Elephas maximus indicus: one gene and its partner. The protein of the gene in region 1 interacts with the protein of each later gene in a pairwise test. Links are inferred from orthologs where the notes say so. Each region holds a gene or a part of one and is shown in the gene's direction. Other genes may lie near its edges.

Evidence for each region.
Region 2: the proteins of CCNDBP1 (region 1) and C1H6orf226 interact in binary tests that used the Homo sapiens proteins (3 or more experiments, as listed by UniProt). The two-hybrid records come from large-scale screens. The link is inferred for Elephas maximus indicus from reciprocal best matches to the Homo sapiens genes CCNDBP1 and PEX39.

The regions. Positions count from the first base shown.
Region 1 is NC_064828.1:12,855,069-12,863,083, reverse strand, and holds the start of CCNDBP1 (cyclin-D1-binding protein 1), read left to right. Parts: upstream 1-4,993; 5' UTR 4,994-5,085; coding exon 5,086-5,194; intron 5,195-5,361; coding exon 5,362-5,421; intron 5,422-5,732; coding exon 5,733-5,812; intron 5,813-8,015. Other genes in the region: TMEM62 (transmembrane protein 62), read left to right, coding at 1,012-1,130, 3,905-4,231. UniProt on the Homo sapiens protein: May negatively regulate cell cycle progression. May act at least in part via inhibition of the cyclin-D1/CDK4 complex, thereby preventing phosphorylation of RB1 and blocking E2F-dependent transcription.
Region 2 is NC_064819.1:107,310,579-107,317,056, reverse strand, and holds C1H6orf226 (uncharacterized protein C6orf226 homolog), read left to right. Parts: upstream 1-4,018; 5' UTR 4,019-4,051; coding exon 4,052-4,348; 3' UTR 4,349-5,900; downstream 5,901-6,478. UniProt on the Homo sapiens protein: May be a peroxin involved in the PTS2-mediated protein import pathway.

The DNA.
Region 1 (8,015 bases):
AGCTCTGGCACATTCCCCCTTGGAGGTCAGCTCTCCGTTAGAAGATGGGCCAAAGCTTTTTGAGACACTTGTCTTACACCAGGAGGCAAAGCAAGTGGCTTGGTTCTTAGGCTGGAAAAGAAAACAATAAAGGGCAGAAGTTGCTCCATTTGTAAAAATTGAAACTTGAAGATAAAACACTTTTTTTAGGCTAATCTCTCTAAAGGAGTTTTTGTAATATGTATCTGAGAAAACTGCATATGACTTTTAAAAGCTGAGCTCTACTCTTGCCAACAAATGGTTATTTGCATTTTGAGAAGGGAAGTCTGACTGTCCATTACCACTCATTGACAATACAGTAGTTCCCTGAAACTGCACCCTGAGAAGGGCCAGTAATTAATAGAGGGGACTGAAAAGTCAGCATGGCATTCCAGATGAAAAATTAAAGAAGCAAGTGAAACTCTGTATACGTTAACCCTAAGTACGTAGTTGGTGTACACAGTAATGACTGTGGGTCATCAAGAAAAGATTAAAATACATTCATTATGTTAATGAGAATGAGAAGTACATACAAGTATATTTTAGAAAGATTTTCATCAAAAAGTAGTTGAAAATTTTTTCACTGGTTAAAGGAGTAAATCTCAATTATCTGGAAAATAAGCTTCTGTGGAATATCTCTTTGCTTCTTAAAGAAAATGATAGTGCTTTATATTGAGGTTATTATTGCAATAAAACCTTCCAAAATTAATAAATGTGCTCCAATCTGTTTCTGGAATCTACATTTACATGTCTATTCCCGGTGTAGCTTTTACAACCCAGAGAAATATGGAGGAAGGGAGCAGATACTTAGATGGATAGTTAGGACATCAGATGCAACACAGAGATTAGCAAAGAAGAAAAGCCTGGCAAATAAAATGCTTATAGATTTAAGTAGTCTCATATCTTTTCATTATTCCTGTAATGCATCTCATAGATGTATGTAATCAGAGTCATAATTATATAATCTCCTTTCCTATCCATTGCCTCTTTTAGGACCATGGTTTGTTGGTGAAATCATTACAGGCAAATTGGGTTGCTGCTTTTCTTTTGGGATCTTTGTTGATGGACATTTCCTACAAGGCAGCTTAACATTTGTAGTTGGAATTCTCCAGGTAAGAAGTTGGAAATGCAATTTAAGAACATCTTGGCCTTGTTGGACTAATTGCATTACAGTTATGAATTACCCCCCAAATCTGAAATGAAATGCTGTGGATCATCTTTCCGACTTTGCAGTCAGGGCAGTCTTTAATAACTGGTGTTCTGTTTGTATTTAGAGTGCTTCCTAAGTGCTTTCTTCCACCACTCTCTTGTAAACATCTAAAATAGATTTTTGGAAGGCAGGATTTGTAAGAGGTGAAAGAGATTTTTGTTGCTGTTACTTGTTTCATTTTGCTTTTTCATTGACAGAAGATGAAATAAGGGTCTAATAGTAGAATAAATGATAGAGTTCACACTAAATCAAAATTGATTATGATTAATAAAGAACGAAAATGTTTCAGGAAGAAGAAAGTAAAAATAGACACACAAGAAAAGTGGCTTATTTATCCAATGGAAATGGCACTGGGCAAAAACGAGACCTGGGCTTTCCCATGGTGTCTTAGCAGGGTACCTGCATGGGAAATGCTGATAGATTAGGTATACATTTGGATTAAGAGTCCTTTAAAACACACAAAGAGCCCTGACCCATAGCAAATCTCCATAAACAGATTTCAAAAGTATTTACCTAGTTCTTTATTTTACTCATCTGATGGCGCTAGACCAACAAGCCAGACCTGGTGGCTCAGTGGTTAAAATGCTTGACTGCTAACCAAAAGGTGGCAGTTTGAACCTACCAGCCGTTCTACCTAGCGGTCTGCTTCTGTAACAATTTACAGCCTTGGAAACTCTATAGGGCAATTCTGCTCTGTCCTACTGGGTCACTAGGAGTCGGAATCAACTCAACAGCAGTGGGTTTGGTTTTTTGTTTAATGAGGTAAAACCAAACTCGTTGCCACTGAGTCAGTTCCAAGTCACAGCAACCCTATAGGACAGAGTGGAACCGCCCCACAGGGTTTCCAAGGAGTGGCAGGTGGATTCAAACTGCCGACCTTTTGGTTCGCATCCGAGCTCTTAACCACTGTACCTGGACCAGAATCTGAGGTGGTAATCTGAAGTTTTGGAAGAGATCAAAAAACATGGTTCACAATGAGTTCAAAGCCTCATACCAGGGCAGTAAAACAAGATGAGCAGGATTGGAGACAGTCAAATAGGCAAGACCTTGGCCTAGCAAACACTGAGCCTAGGCTAGAACATTCCCTGCATGGCAGCATTGTATATGTGAGAAGGTCCTAGGTCCAGTTTAGTTTCCATTATGTAGATGGAGGCTGGATCTCGGGAGCACTCTTTTACCAAGTAAAACCAGAACTTTGCCAAAAGACTTCTTTCTCTTTGTAAATGTTTACATTCATAGTTTAATAAATAGTACACTAATAAATGGATTTTATGCATCATACAGGTTCATGACTCCCAAATCTGTATCTCTGGCTTAGACCTCTTCTCTGCAGTTCAAGTGCCTGTATATTCGACTGTCATTTCAGATCTTCCCTTAGATGTCTAACAGACATCTCAATATTATGTCTCTAATAGAACCTTTAATTTTCATCCCCAAACCTGTTCCTCTCTTGGTTCTTTCCAATTTCAATAAATGGCGCCACCATTCATCCAGTTTCTCCAGGGTGTATCCTCAGTTCTTCCCCTTCCCTCATGTGCTATATCTAGTCCATCAGCAAGTTGTACCTTGTTTGGTCTACCTCCAATATACACCGTGAGTCTATACACTTCTCACCATCTCTGCTGCCACCAACCTAGTCATAATTATGGCTTCCCTGGGCTACTATACTGACCCCTCACTGCTCTTCTTACTCCTGCTCTTGCTCCCCTACTGTCAGTTCACCACAAAGCATCCAATGTGATCTTTTTAAGACCTGAATCAGCTCACTCACTTCTCAGAGTATAACCCTTTAAGCAGAGCAGTGACATTATCTGGGCCCTACTGTCTGCTCCAATCTACACCTGGTTGGTCATTCTCCAGACACATTGGCCTTAAAGGCCTCCCCCACCTTTGGGCTTTTTATTTGTTCCTTCTGCCTGGAATGCATGTCCCTCCACTGATTCATTCCTGTCCTCAGGCCTCAGAGAGGTCATCTCCCAGTTACTTTCATGACCAGTTCTTTCTTTCATTGAACTTACCACAACCAGTTATCTTTTTTTTTTTTCAGTCTCTCTTCTCCCTGTTAGAATGTAAGCTCCATAGTGGATCTTTTCAGACTTGCTCACTCATGTGTCCAAAACTGAGAGCGTAGTACAGTGCCTTCCACATAATGAGTGCCCAGTAATTACTTTTTGAATAAATGAATGAATCGTAACAGCACCTAAGCTTGTATTAAAGCTTCTAATTTGTATTCCAGCACTCATGCCGCCTCAAATAGAGATAAGGAAAAAAAATACTGATACCCAAGTTCCCATCAACCAAAAAAAAAAAAAAGTTAGAGCCTATATATATATATATATATGTGTGTGTGTGTACACATGAGTATAAACACACACATACACATACTCAATTCAACTTAAACTCTATTGAGTATCTGCTGTTATGTGGTAGTGGAGATTTCAACATAAATGACACCTGCCTTTAAGATGAACAAAAGGACACAGGCAAATACAAAACTAACTATAGTATAAGTGAACTGTTGTATAATATGCAAGTGATCAAAGGAGAGAATCAGAGAACTAACTAACCCCAAGAGAAAAGGCAACATTCTTGGGAGCTACCAATAATGTATTAAGGATACCTACCCCTCCAAGGCGTGGTAGAAAGCTAATGGTTCTCCTCTGCTCCTCTTTGCAGCTGGTGTTTTTTAACATCCCCTTGATGACTTACCTGTCCTGGAGCTTGTTGCAGCGGTGCTTTGGTCACAACTTCAGATCTCATCTCCACCAAGGAAAATACTTGAAAATTGTACCTGTTCACCTACTTATGCTACTACTGTACGTTTGGCAGGTCTACTCCTGCTACTTCCTTCACGTGACGTATGGCACCCTAGCTTTTTTCTTCTCCCCTTTGCGGACCTGGTTGACACTGCTGACACCCATTCTCATTCGTTGTGTGTGGACACTGAACCCCACTGAGCTTGGAACCTTCATTGTGCAGTTAAAAAGCCACCTGAGCTCCTGAAGGCCATGCCTCCCCATGAGCAGCTGGGCCCAGCTCAGCTCCACCTCTAGTGAAGCAGGTGGAGAGCCAGTGCTGGTGGCAGAGCTTCGTGGAGCTGCAGCTTTTTGGACACCTGGGAGTTAAAGGGACTACCCACTACTGATTGCTGCAGAATGGACTGGAGGAAAATCTCTAATTAATGCTGTGATTTCTTTCTTCCTCAAGAATGCAAAAGGTTGATTGACCTTTGTGAAGAGAAAGCCCTAATCTAGGAGATCCTCAGGGTGGATCCACAGGCTGGGTGTATGTATGGGAGCATCTGAGGCCCAGGGTGTTTACGTTACCCCACATAAAGCACCTAGTACAGTGCTTGGCACTCAGCAGTTGCCAGAGGTGCCACTTCAGGGGCAGGGAACTTGGAACTTGGACCTGACCCTAACTGCCCTTCAGATGTTAGCTCCTAGCCCTGTTTTCCTGCAGGGTTATGGTTCTCAGCTTCCTTAGTCGGGGGTGTTTTCAGTTAATCAAATAAATGAATGAATCAATGAGGAATCAATATGGCTCTTGCGTGTTGTGGCCTGGCCTTAGGCGGGGAGGGGCGGGCGCGGTTTAGCATCAGGCAGCGGGAGGAGGCGTGGCCTGGCGCCTGGGGGCGGGAGGAAGGCGGGGCCTGTCTTCGGAGAGTGACTGCTGACGTGGACACGTGGCTCGGCCTCTGAAGTGATAGGGGCGAGGCAGCGCTCCCGGGGCGGGGCGTGAAGGGTTGTTGCCGGAAGCGGACCTCAGTTTGTGGCTCCCGGAAGTGGGGTGGCTTCCGCAGTGCGTCTCTGGTACCGGCGGTGGCGACGTTTGTAGTCACCAGGCAAGCGACTGAGATGGCAAGCACAGCTGCCCCTGCAGCCGCCTTCCCCACCCTGGCTCCGCCTTTGGAGCAGCTCCGGCACTTGGCAGTGGAGCTGCGGTCGCTCATGCCTGGAGTGCGGGGTGAGCTGACGCCGTTGCGGGGCGATGACAGGCGGGTTGGGACTGGGGAGAGAGCAGGCTGGGGCGGTGGCGGCGGTCGGGGCGGAGGAGGTGGGGGGCAGAGCTGGCTCCGCTTACTCCAGCTTTTCTTTTGCCCCCGCCCGGCCCCCACGCGCCACACCCACAAGTCGGCGAAGCGCAGGAGACCACCGAGGAGTTCAATCGGGAGAAGTTTTGGAGGAGACTCAGTGAGTGCTAGTCTTGGCGTCCCCATCCCTTACCTCTTCCGTTTATCCTTGGGCCCTTCTGCACCCTGAGCTGCGTCCCAACCCCTTTCCCTCCCACTCTCCCTCAGGGAGGTGACCACGCTCCCCCGCCGTATCCTCAGCGTGGGGGTACCTCTCCTTACCCTTCCTCGGCAGTGATTTTTGGAGGTGTTTTTGAGACGCCTCAGCCGGCAAGGGTGAAGAGGGAACGCATTGTCTTTGACGTCTGCGAGCAGCTGCAGCCTTGTTTTGGCACTAACACATTGGCACCTGCCTCCTCTTCCACCCTGCAGACGAGGCGGCTGTGAAAGTGGCCAGCGAAGCCACGACTCTGACCACAGCCTTCTCCAGACTTCCGCTGCCGTCTCCACAGGTGGGCTTCACTTCCCCAGTTTCCTTGTGCTGCCTCCTTCCCACCTTTTACACTCAAGCCAGGGGACTTAATTCCCTCATCTGCCAAATGGGATTACAGTTCTTACCTTAAAGGATTGTTGTGAAGACCAAATACGGCAATGCGCGTAAAATTGCCAGGTGCGCTACATGGTGGGGAGTAGACAGGTCTTCTAAATATTGGTTCAATTTAAAGTCCAGCCTGGTTCGTTCATTTCTGATAACTTTTTTAAAAAAGCACTTACAGCTTGCTGGGTGTTTTCACATACATAGCCCTCCTCCGACAGATGAACAAGCAGGCTCAGACGCTCATGTTAGGGTAAATAAGCAGTGAGGCCGGGATTAAGTTGGGGTCTGTCTGTTGTCAAAGCTACATCTTTTCTGCTGTACTACATAAAACCCTTTTTGAATTTTTATTTTATTGTGATTTAGGTGAAAGTTTACATAGCAAAGAGTTTTTCATTAAATAATACGCATATTGTTTTGTGACGTTGGTTGCCAACCCCACAATGTGTCAACACTCTCCCCTTCTCCACCCCAGGTTCCCTGTTTCCATTCATCCAGTTTTCCTGAACTATTTTAATTTTTTATACTGAATTAGTAACATGTATATGGTATGAAATTAAAAAGATATCAAAGTATGCTAAAATGTTTATATCTCACAACTCCAGTTTCTCGTTTTTGCCTCCCCCCCAGTTCTTTTTGTATTTTTCCATATTTATTCTGTGCATATACACATTCATGTACACATGCTTTTTACACAAATGTAACTTGTAACTATAACGAGTGCTGTGGTGAATTACCTGGTACAATCTGTGTGTGCGTATGCATATTGGTAGAAAAAAAATTCCCAGAAGTGGCATTACTAGAACAAAGAATTATACACTTTAACACTTTATTATATTATAAAACTAATGAAAATAAACATGTAGGCTGGGACCAGGTATGCCCAGTTTTTCTAGAGCTAAGTATGCCTATTTGGGGGGTAAGATTATTTAAAAGTGGCATACTCATTGACTTACTTCATTCTCATGGTCAGTAGTTTCAGTCTCCGATGCTTTGAAATGATACATTCTTTCACTGAACCCACAATGATAAACCCCCTCCTCATACCTCAGAGATCTGTGTTGAGGAAACGGGATGACTCGGAGTACAGCACTTTAAAAGCTTCGTGGAAGAAAGTCAATATTTCTATCAAAGGAACTAGCAGTATTACCTTTTTTCCTCTTATATGCAGATTCCTTTCTTTCATATACACTTAGGACTTGCCAAAATTCATAGCTAGTAAGATCCCATGAGGAGGCAACATAGAACTATTTTTCTGTACATGCTCAGTACAGTGATTTTACTCATGGGTGAAAATTTAAATTTAGAATTTGGTTTTATTTGAACGACATATATAAGGAATCTCAGCATCTTAGTCCTGTAGTTTAAAATACACTGAATACTGATACACTGAAAACTACGGAGTTGAATGAGCTCTCGTGGTTTTGAGCAGCGATCATTCAGATGAGGAATATCACCCATTATGGACTGATAGATATTTTTAGAAAACTGTGTGCTTGGATGTTACACAATGTCAAATTGCCATGAAAGTGCCTAAATACTTATTCTCAATCACTGTATTTATATCATCCTGGACTGGTAATAAACAGTTTGTGGATTGGCACCAACCTGTGGGCCACACCTGGCATAGCACGGGCTTAGAACTTAGCAGATTAAGTGAAGACAAGGAAGGTAGGAGAAAGCCAGTGACTGCTTTAGAGGAAGAGAGTCAACATTGAACATTGCTGAGTCCATGTGATTCTATTAAAACAAAGGAGAGAATGAGGGTGGGGAGATATAATGGTCTAAGACAGGAGTTGGCAAATAGTAGATAATTGTGTTCCAGTAATACAGTGAAACCTGTCAGAGCCAGAACTCAACAGGACTGCCTTGTTTTTCTAGGCCTTGCAAGTTTTCTGCCTTTCACAGGGTGCAGCCTTACCACTTTTCTCTCGCTTGGTTTATTGGAAAAAAATTGAGTTTTCCTCTCTGACAGGTTTCCACCTTACACAGGTTCCAGCTTTTGCAGGTTTTACTGTACTTTACTTACAAAACTTGGCAGTAGGCTTGATTTGGCCTGTGGGCTATAGTTTGCCAGATCTTGGTCTAAGATATGGTGAGTACTTCACAGCAGATCACTA
Region 2 (6,478 bases), on another chromosome or scaffold:
CAAATTAGGCTCCCAGTAATTGTTAAATTACTACACAACTTGTTCAGTGACATTGGTTATATTTTTCAGTGTGTCGACTTTCTCATTATCTCCATTCTGCTTGTTCCGTTTCTAGTAATCTAGTTTCCTTCTTTTCTTTGTTTTTGAGTAAATGTTGACCATTTGGTTTCATATAGATGATAGCTTTACTTTTCTAATTTAAAAGATTTATTATGGCTATATATACATACACATAACATAAAATTTCCATTTAACTATTTTTAAGTGTACACTTCAGTGACATTAACTACATTTACGATGTTATACAACCATCACCACTATTTCTCATCATCCTAAACAGAAACTCTGTACCCATTAAACAATAACTCTCCATTCCTCCCTTCCCTCAGCCCCCGGGAACTATTAATAAACTTTGGTCTTTATGCATTTGCCTATTCTAGATATTTCATATAAGTGGGATCATACAATATTTGTCCTTTTGTGTCTGATTTATTTCACTTAGCACAATGCATTCGAGGTTCATCCATGTCATAGCATGTATCAGAACTTCATGTCTCTTTATGGCTGGATAATATTCCATTGTATAGATATACCACATATTGTTTATCCATTCATCTGTTGACGGGCACTTGGATTGTTTCTACCTTTTGACTCTTGTGAATAGTGCTGCAATGAACATTGGGGTACAAATACCTGTTTGAGTCCCTGATTTCAAGTCTTTGAGATACATACCTAGCAGTGGAGTTGATAGGTCATAAGGTAATTCTATGTTTAACTTTTTGAGTAACTGCCAAACTATTTTCCATAGTGGCTGCACCATTTTAGAATCCCACCAAAACTTGTTGTTTTCTGGTGTTTTTGTACGTGTGTGTGCGTGTGCTTTGATAATAGCCATCCTAGTGGGTGTGAAAAGTTCCTAAGTAGTGCAAATGGTTAGCAATCGACTATTGACTATTAACCTTAAGATTAGTAGTTTGAACTTGCCCGATGGTACTGTTGAAGAAAGTCCTGGCAATCTGCTTCTGTTAAGATTAAACAACAACAAAAAACCTAAACCCACTGCAGTCTAGTCGATTCCAACTCATGGTGACCTTAAGTGTGAAGATTGTTGTTGTCGTTAGCTGCCATCCAGTCAGCCCCAACTCATGGCAACCCCATGTGTCACAAAATAAAACTGTTACATGGGGTTCTTGGCTGTAATCTTTACAGAAGTAGTTTGCCAGGATTTGCTTCCATGGAACTGCTGGTGGGTTTGAACCACCAACTTTTGGGTTAGCCAGTTGCCAATTGCTTGTGCCACAGACAAGAAAACCCTCTGGAGCAGTTCTACTGTATAACACATGGGGTCACCACGAGTCAGGATCAATTCCACAGCAACTTTTTTTTTTTAATGAACATGAAGTGGTATCTCAATGTGGTTTTGATTTGCATGTCCCTAATAAGCATCTTTTCATGTGCTTGTTAGCCATTTGTATCTCTTTTTTGAAGAAATGTCCGTTCAAGGCTGTCTTAGTACTAGTGCTGCTATAACAGAAATATCCCAAGCGGATGGCTTTAACAAAGAGAAATTTACTTCTCTACAGTAAAGTAGGCTAAAAGTCCAAATGTGGAGCGTCGGCTCCAGGGGAAGGCTTTCTCTCTCTGTTGGCCTTCTCACCAATCTTCCCCCAGACTAGGGGCTTCTTTGCTCAGGGACCCCGGGTCCAAAGGAAGTGCTCTGCTCCTGGCACTGCCTTCTTGGTGATATGAAGTCCCCCCTCTCTGCTAGCTTCCCTGGTAAGGGTGACCTGGTAAGGGTGTTACAATCCCACCCTAATCCTCTGTAACATACAATGACAATCACAAAATGGAGGATAGCCACAGAACACTGGGAATCATCGCCTAACCAAGTTGATACACACATTTTGGGGGGGACATAATTCAATCCATGACAAAGACCTTTGCCCATTTTTAAATGGGGTGGTCTTTTTGTTGTTGAGTTGTTGTTGTTAGGTGCCATCGAGTAGGTTCCTACTCATAGCAAGCCTATGTACAACGAACAAAACACTGCCTGGTCCTGCACCATCCTTAAAGTTGTTATGTTTGAGCTCATTGTTGCAGCTACTTTGTCAATCCATCTTGTTGAGGGTCTTCCTCTCTTTTGCTGACCCTCTACTTTACCAAGTATGATGTCCTTCTCCAGGGACCGGTCCCTCCTGATAACGTGTCCAAAGTGTGTGAGACTAAGACTTGGCCATCCTTGCTTCTAAGGAGCATTCTAGCTGGACTTATTCCAAGACAGATTTGTTCGATCTTTTGCAGTGCACGGTATATTCAAAATTCTTTGCCACCTCAAAGGCATCAATTTTCTTCCATCTTCCTTATTCATGGCCCAGCTTTCACATGCATATGAAGCATTTAAAACCACCATGGCTTGGGTCAGGCGTGCCTTAGTCCTTAAATGGGTTCGCGCTTGTAATCTTATTAAGAATAACTACAGTCAAGTGGATTTTAAAGGAGACATAGTTTAATACTTGCAAGGACTAGGAGATAGAAAGATCACTCTCAAAGCATTATCTTTCAGAACAAAGGGGTGGGAGAAGTTTTATACTATGCAGTAAGAGGGAAGTTATTCATTAAACTCCTGGGATATAGCATGCATATTTAAAAGGACTGGGCTAAGTCTTAGCAAGGAAGTGGGTGTGGGACCTCTCGTTTCTAAACTGGGTCTGGCTTTATCTGATGCTGTATGTCTGGCGTTTTTAGTTCTTTGACACCAGTTTCTTGGTTCTTAGGCAGGACTTATTATGGGATGAGGACATACAGTGGTCAACCAAATTGTTTCTGCGCCGGTGTGGAATGCTGGTTTTAGTTGGTTTACCTGAAAAACAATCCTAAGAGGAAGCATTAAGGGAAATCTGGTTGCTTACGGTTTAAAATTTAGCCTCAGGTTGAGATACTGGTTTCCTGTGTCCAGCCTTGTTTGCTTTGGAATTTTTACAGCCTCTGTTCACAAGAGGGAAACTCTGGTGGCATAGTGGTTAAGTGCTATGGCTGCTAACCAAAGGGTCAGCAGTTCAATCCACCACACACTCCTTGGAAGCTCTATGGGGCAGTTCTACTCTGTCCTATAGGGTCGCTATGAGTCGGAATCGACTCGACAGCACTGGTTTGGTTTTGGTTTTTGGGTCACAAGAGGGTTAATTTTACCGCAGGACCCCAGACCTGTCTCAAAGTGATGTCTTTGCTTTTTAACTCTTTAAAGAGGTCTTTTGCAGCAGATTTTCCTAATGCAATGCATCCTTTGATTTCTTGGCTGTTGCTTTCATGGGTGTTGATTGTGAATCCAAGTAAAATGAAATACTTGACATCTTCTGTCTTTTCTCCATTGAGTTCCTTGTATATTCCAGGCTAGTTTTTGATAAGTTAGAAGCCTCAGAATTATTGACACCGACTTTCTTAGTCGCCAGAGCGACTGTGGCGCACCTGACTTGCCTTCACCTCTCCCATTCCCTTTGGGAGCACCAAGAATAGGATCCGGATGGCAGGAAATGGGAAGAGTGGTGACGCTCTGCAATGGTATCTCTCATTCCCAGTTCTCCTGAAGCCACTGATGACAGTCTCACAGGTATTTTCTACACTGCGCTGAGGACCCCGCCTGGGAATTGGCCCCTTGCCGTGTGTCTATACACGGACGTGCCCTGTGTGTTCGCATTTCTGCGTGTGCATGAAACTAGGTACGTGTGCAGTGCCTGTGCAAGTGTGCAATGTGGAAACGTGGGTCTTTTTGCCTGGATCAGCGTGCCTGCATGCATTCTGTGCAAGCCTTCAAGTTTTGGCGCAATTCTTTTTCTTCTAAAGCACTTCCCACGTCGGGGCTCTGGAGGTGGTCTAAATTGTGTACGTGCGTGAAGCCTTTCCGAGAAGAATCGTTCAGGGTTCTCAAGTGTTTCCCCCCACTGGAACGGCTTGGTATGGTCTACGACCTCCCCTTCATTTCTTCCGATAGTGGTTGCACCCATACCACCCGGAAGTGTTTGCTTCGCTAGCAGGTCAGGTTTCGCGGCCCAACATGGAGCGGTCCGGAAGCACGACCTCCCGCGTCCGAGCTCCCACAGCCGTGCAGAGCGACCCGGCCTCGGTGACCCTGACGCAACTTGTGCAGCTGGTCCAGCAGGGCCAGGAGCTCCCGGGCCTGGAGAGGCGCGACATCGTGGCGACCCAAGGGGAGCCCACGGCGTCCCAGCTCCCGCGGAGGCCCAAGCCCTGGGAGGCCGCGGCCTGTGTGCCGTCCCGCGCGCCGCCGACTGTCGGCTGGAGGAGCCGCCCCGAGCCCGGCTCGGCCGAGGTGTCGACCGCGCGGCCGTAAACGGTACGTGGTGGTTCCTGAGGCTCGAGGCTCTTTGCAGCGCAGACCTGGCGGGCGCGACTACGTTCTGCGCGAACTGGGGACTCTGGTTGCCGGCCTTCACCCCGACCGTCTCAGCTGACTAGATCCTCGTGGGGTGTCATCGTCAGGATAGCTTTGTTTCCTTGCTTCTGGACCGTGAGCCTCAGCTAAAAGCTTCGAAAACCTAGCCCCAGTCCTTACGTGTAACTGAAGCAGGTTTTATGCTTTACTATCTTTGACGCAGCCCTGTTTTTTTCACGTACAAATTGCTACTTGGGTCACACTAACGGGGTTTGACTCCCTGGGGGAAGCACTGCCTAGGGTCTAACAATTCCTTATCCTGGTGGTAGTGGAAAAGTGAATCTGGGATCTAAATCGAGTTTTTAGACATCCATTCTCCAGATGGGTAGCTAATAAAGCTTTGATCATAAAACTTACACCGAGGATGACTTTGAAGATACATTAAGTGAAGAAAAAAATCCAACATGTGGAAGTCTATAGTTTACCATGCTTTAAACATGTTAGTGTATTCACAGATTTTATCTGGGAAAATTCCATGAAAAACTAATGGAAAAAGGGGATGGGAAAAACTGCAGACCACTCAAACCTTTATTTGTTCCACGTGCAGTGCAAATAATAATTTTACAAAAAAATTTTAAGTTGAATGAAATCCCAAAGCATTAAAAAAAAGCCAACCAACAACAAAAACCCTGGAACCCTTGGCTCTGGAACCAGCTAGGTCAGGTGCGAAGCTAGAGATTTAGCCCAAGGAGGAAAAGCTCCCACGACCTTCTGGTTAGTCTCCTTAGTAGGCCATGTGGTTCACTGCACCTATTCTTACTCCCTAAAACTTGTTTTCCCTGCAAACCTAGAACCTAACAGGTGTATACATGGAATGTCAAGAGCAACTCACGTTGGTGTACACTATCTACAGACTAATACATGGAGCTAGCTTTCCCAGAAATAAGATCTACATTTTTAGGGAATGATTTATCATGGGACGCTAAGCAGCAGTACATAATTTTTTGATCCATTCTTCTATTTATACAAAATTCTAAGTTAAAAAACTACTCAGCTTAATCTTTTAAACAATCCTGTGAAGCAGACAAAAAATCGTTGCTGTGAAGTCGATTCCAACTCATAGCAACCCCACAGGACTGCCCCACAGGTTTTCCAAGGAGCTGCTGGTGGATTCAAACTGCCAACCTTTTGGTTAGCAGCCAAGCTCTTAACCACAGAGCCACCAGGACTAGATGTTCTAAGCCCCATTTTATAGGCACAGGTGGAAACATTGTTCCCACAATTAGTACAAGATAAATTTGGAACATAAACCCTAGGCTTCCATCTTCACAACTAGTTTTTCCCCTGACTTCATGACACATCACCTTAATCTCATTTCACAGTGCTTTACAGTGTATTAACTCTTAAGCCAAGCAACCTCATAACCTGGCACATTTTAAGGCATTGTTATACCTTGAACTCAATTTCACAGCTATGTTTGAGACTCCCATGAGCCGAAATTGCAGCAAAACTGATCTGAAGGGACCAGAGAACACAACAGTTAAGCATTAATCTTGGCCTGATAGACCCTCATCAACTGCTTAGATGGGAGGTTGAAAGGGAAAGCTCATTGAGAGCAGACATTGATGATAAAGACAAGCAGAATCAGACCCCTTTGTTCAGGTCTAACACCCCAGAAGCCCTTTTGTTGGTCTACTACATCACTGTCAGCAGGGCAGAGGGCATTATTTCTGAAGTTCAGAATATTTAAGGTAAAAGCAACACCAAGAAGGGTCTAAATAAGTTGCCTGCCTAGGGCCTAAAAGACAAAAAACCTGTAGTGCTAATGTCATCCATGCCAAACGGAGCAAATGGTTCACTCCTTCCTGATCTAGGTTGTACAAAATTCCACCTTGAAGCCCAGCAGAAACAAGGTGGGCATTTCCCCAAGTTACAGACAGTGTGGGGACCTTGGGCACCTACCACTGTGTTGTTAGTATGAATCACCTAATTGGTTTGAAGGGAAAAAGCTATCTTTTCAAGTTTTGGTCCTCCCCAGGATATGGAGCCAGAGGAGGCTATCATGGGCAGGAACCTGGGTGACCAATC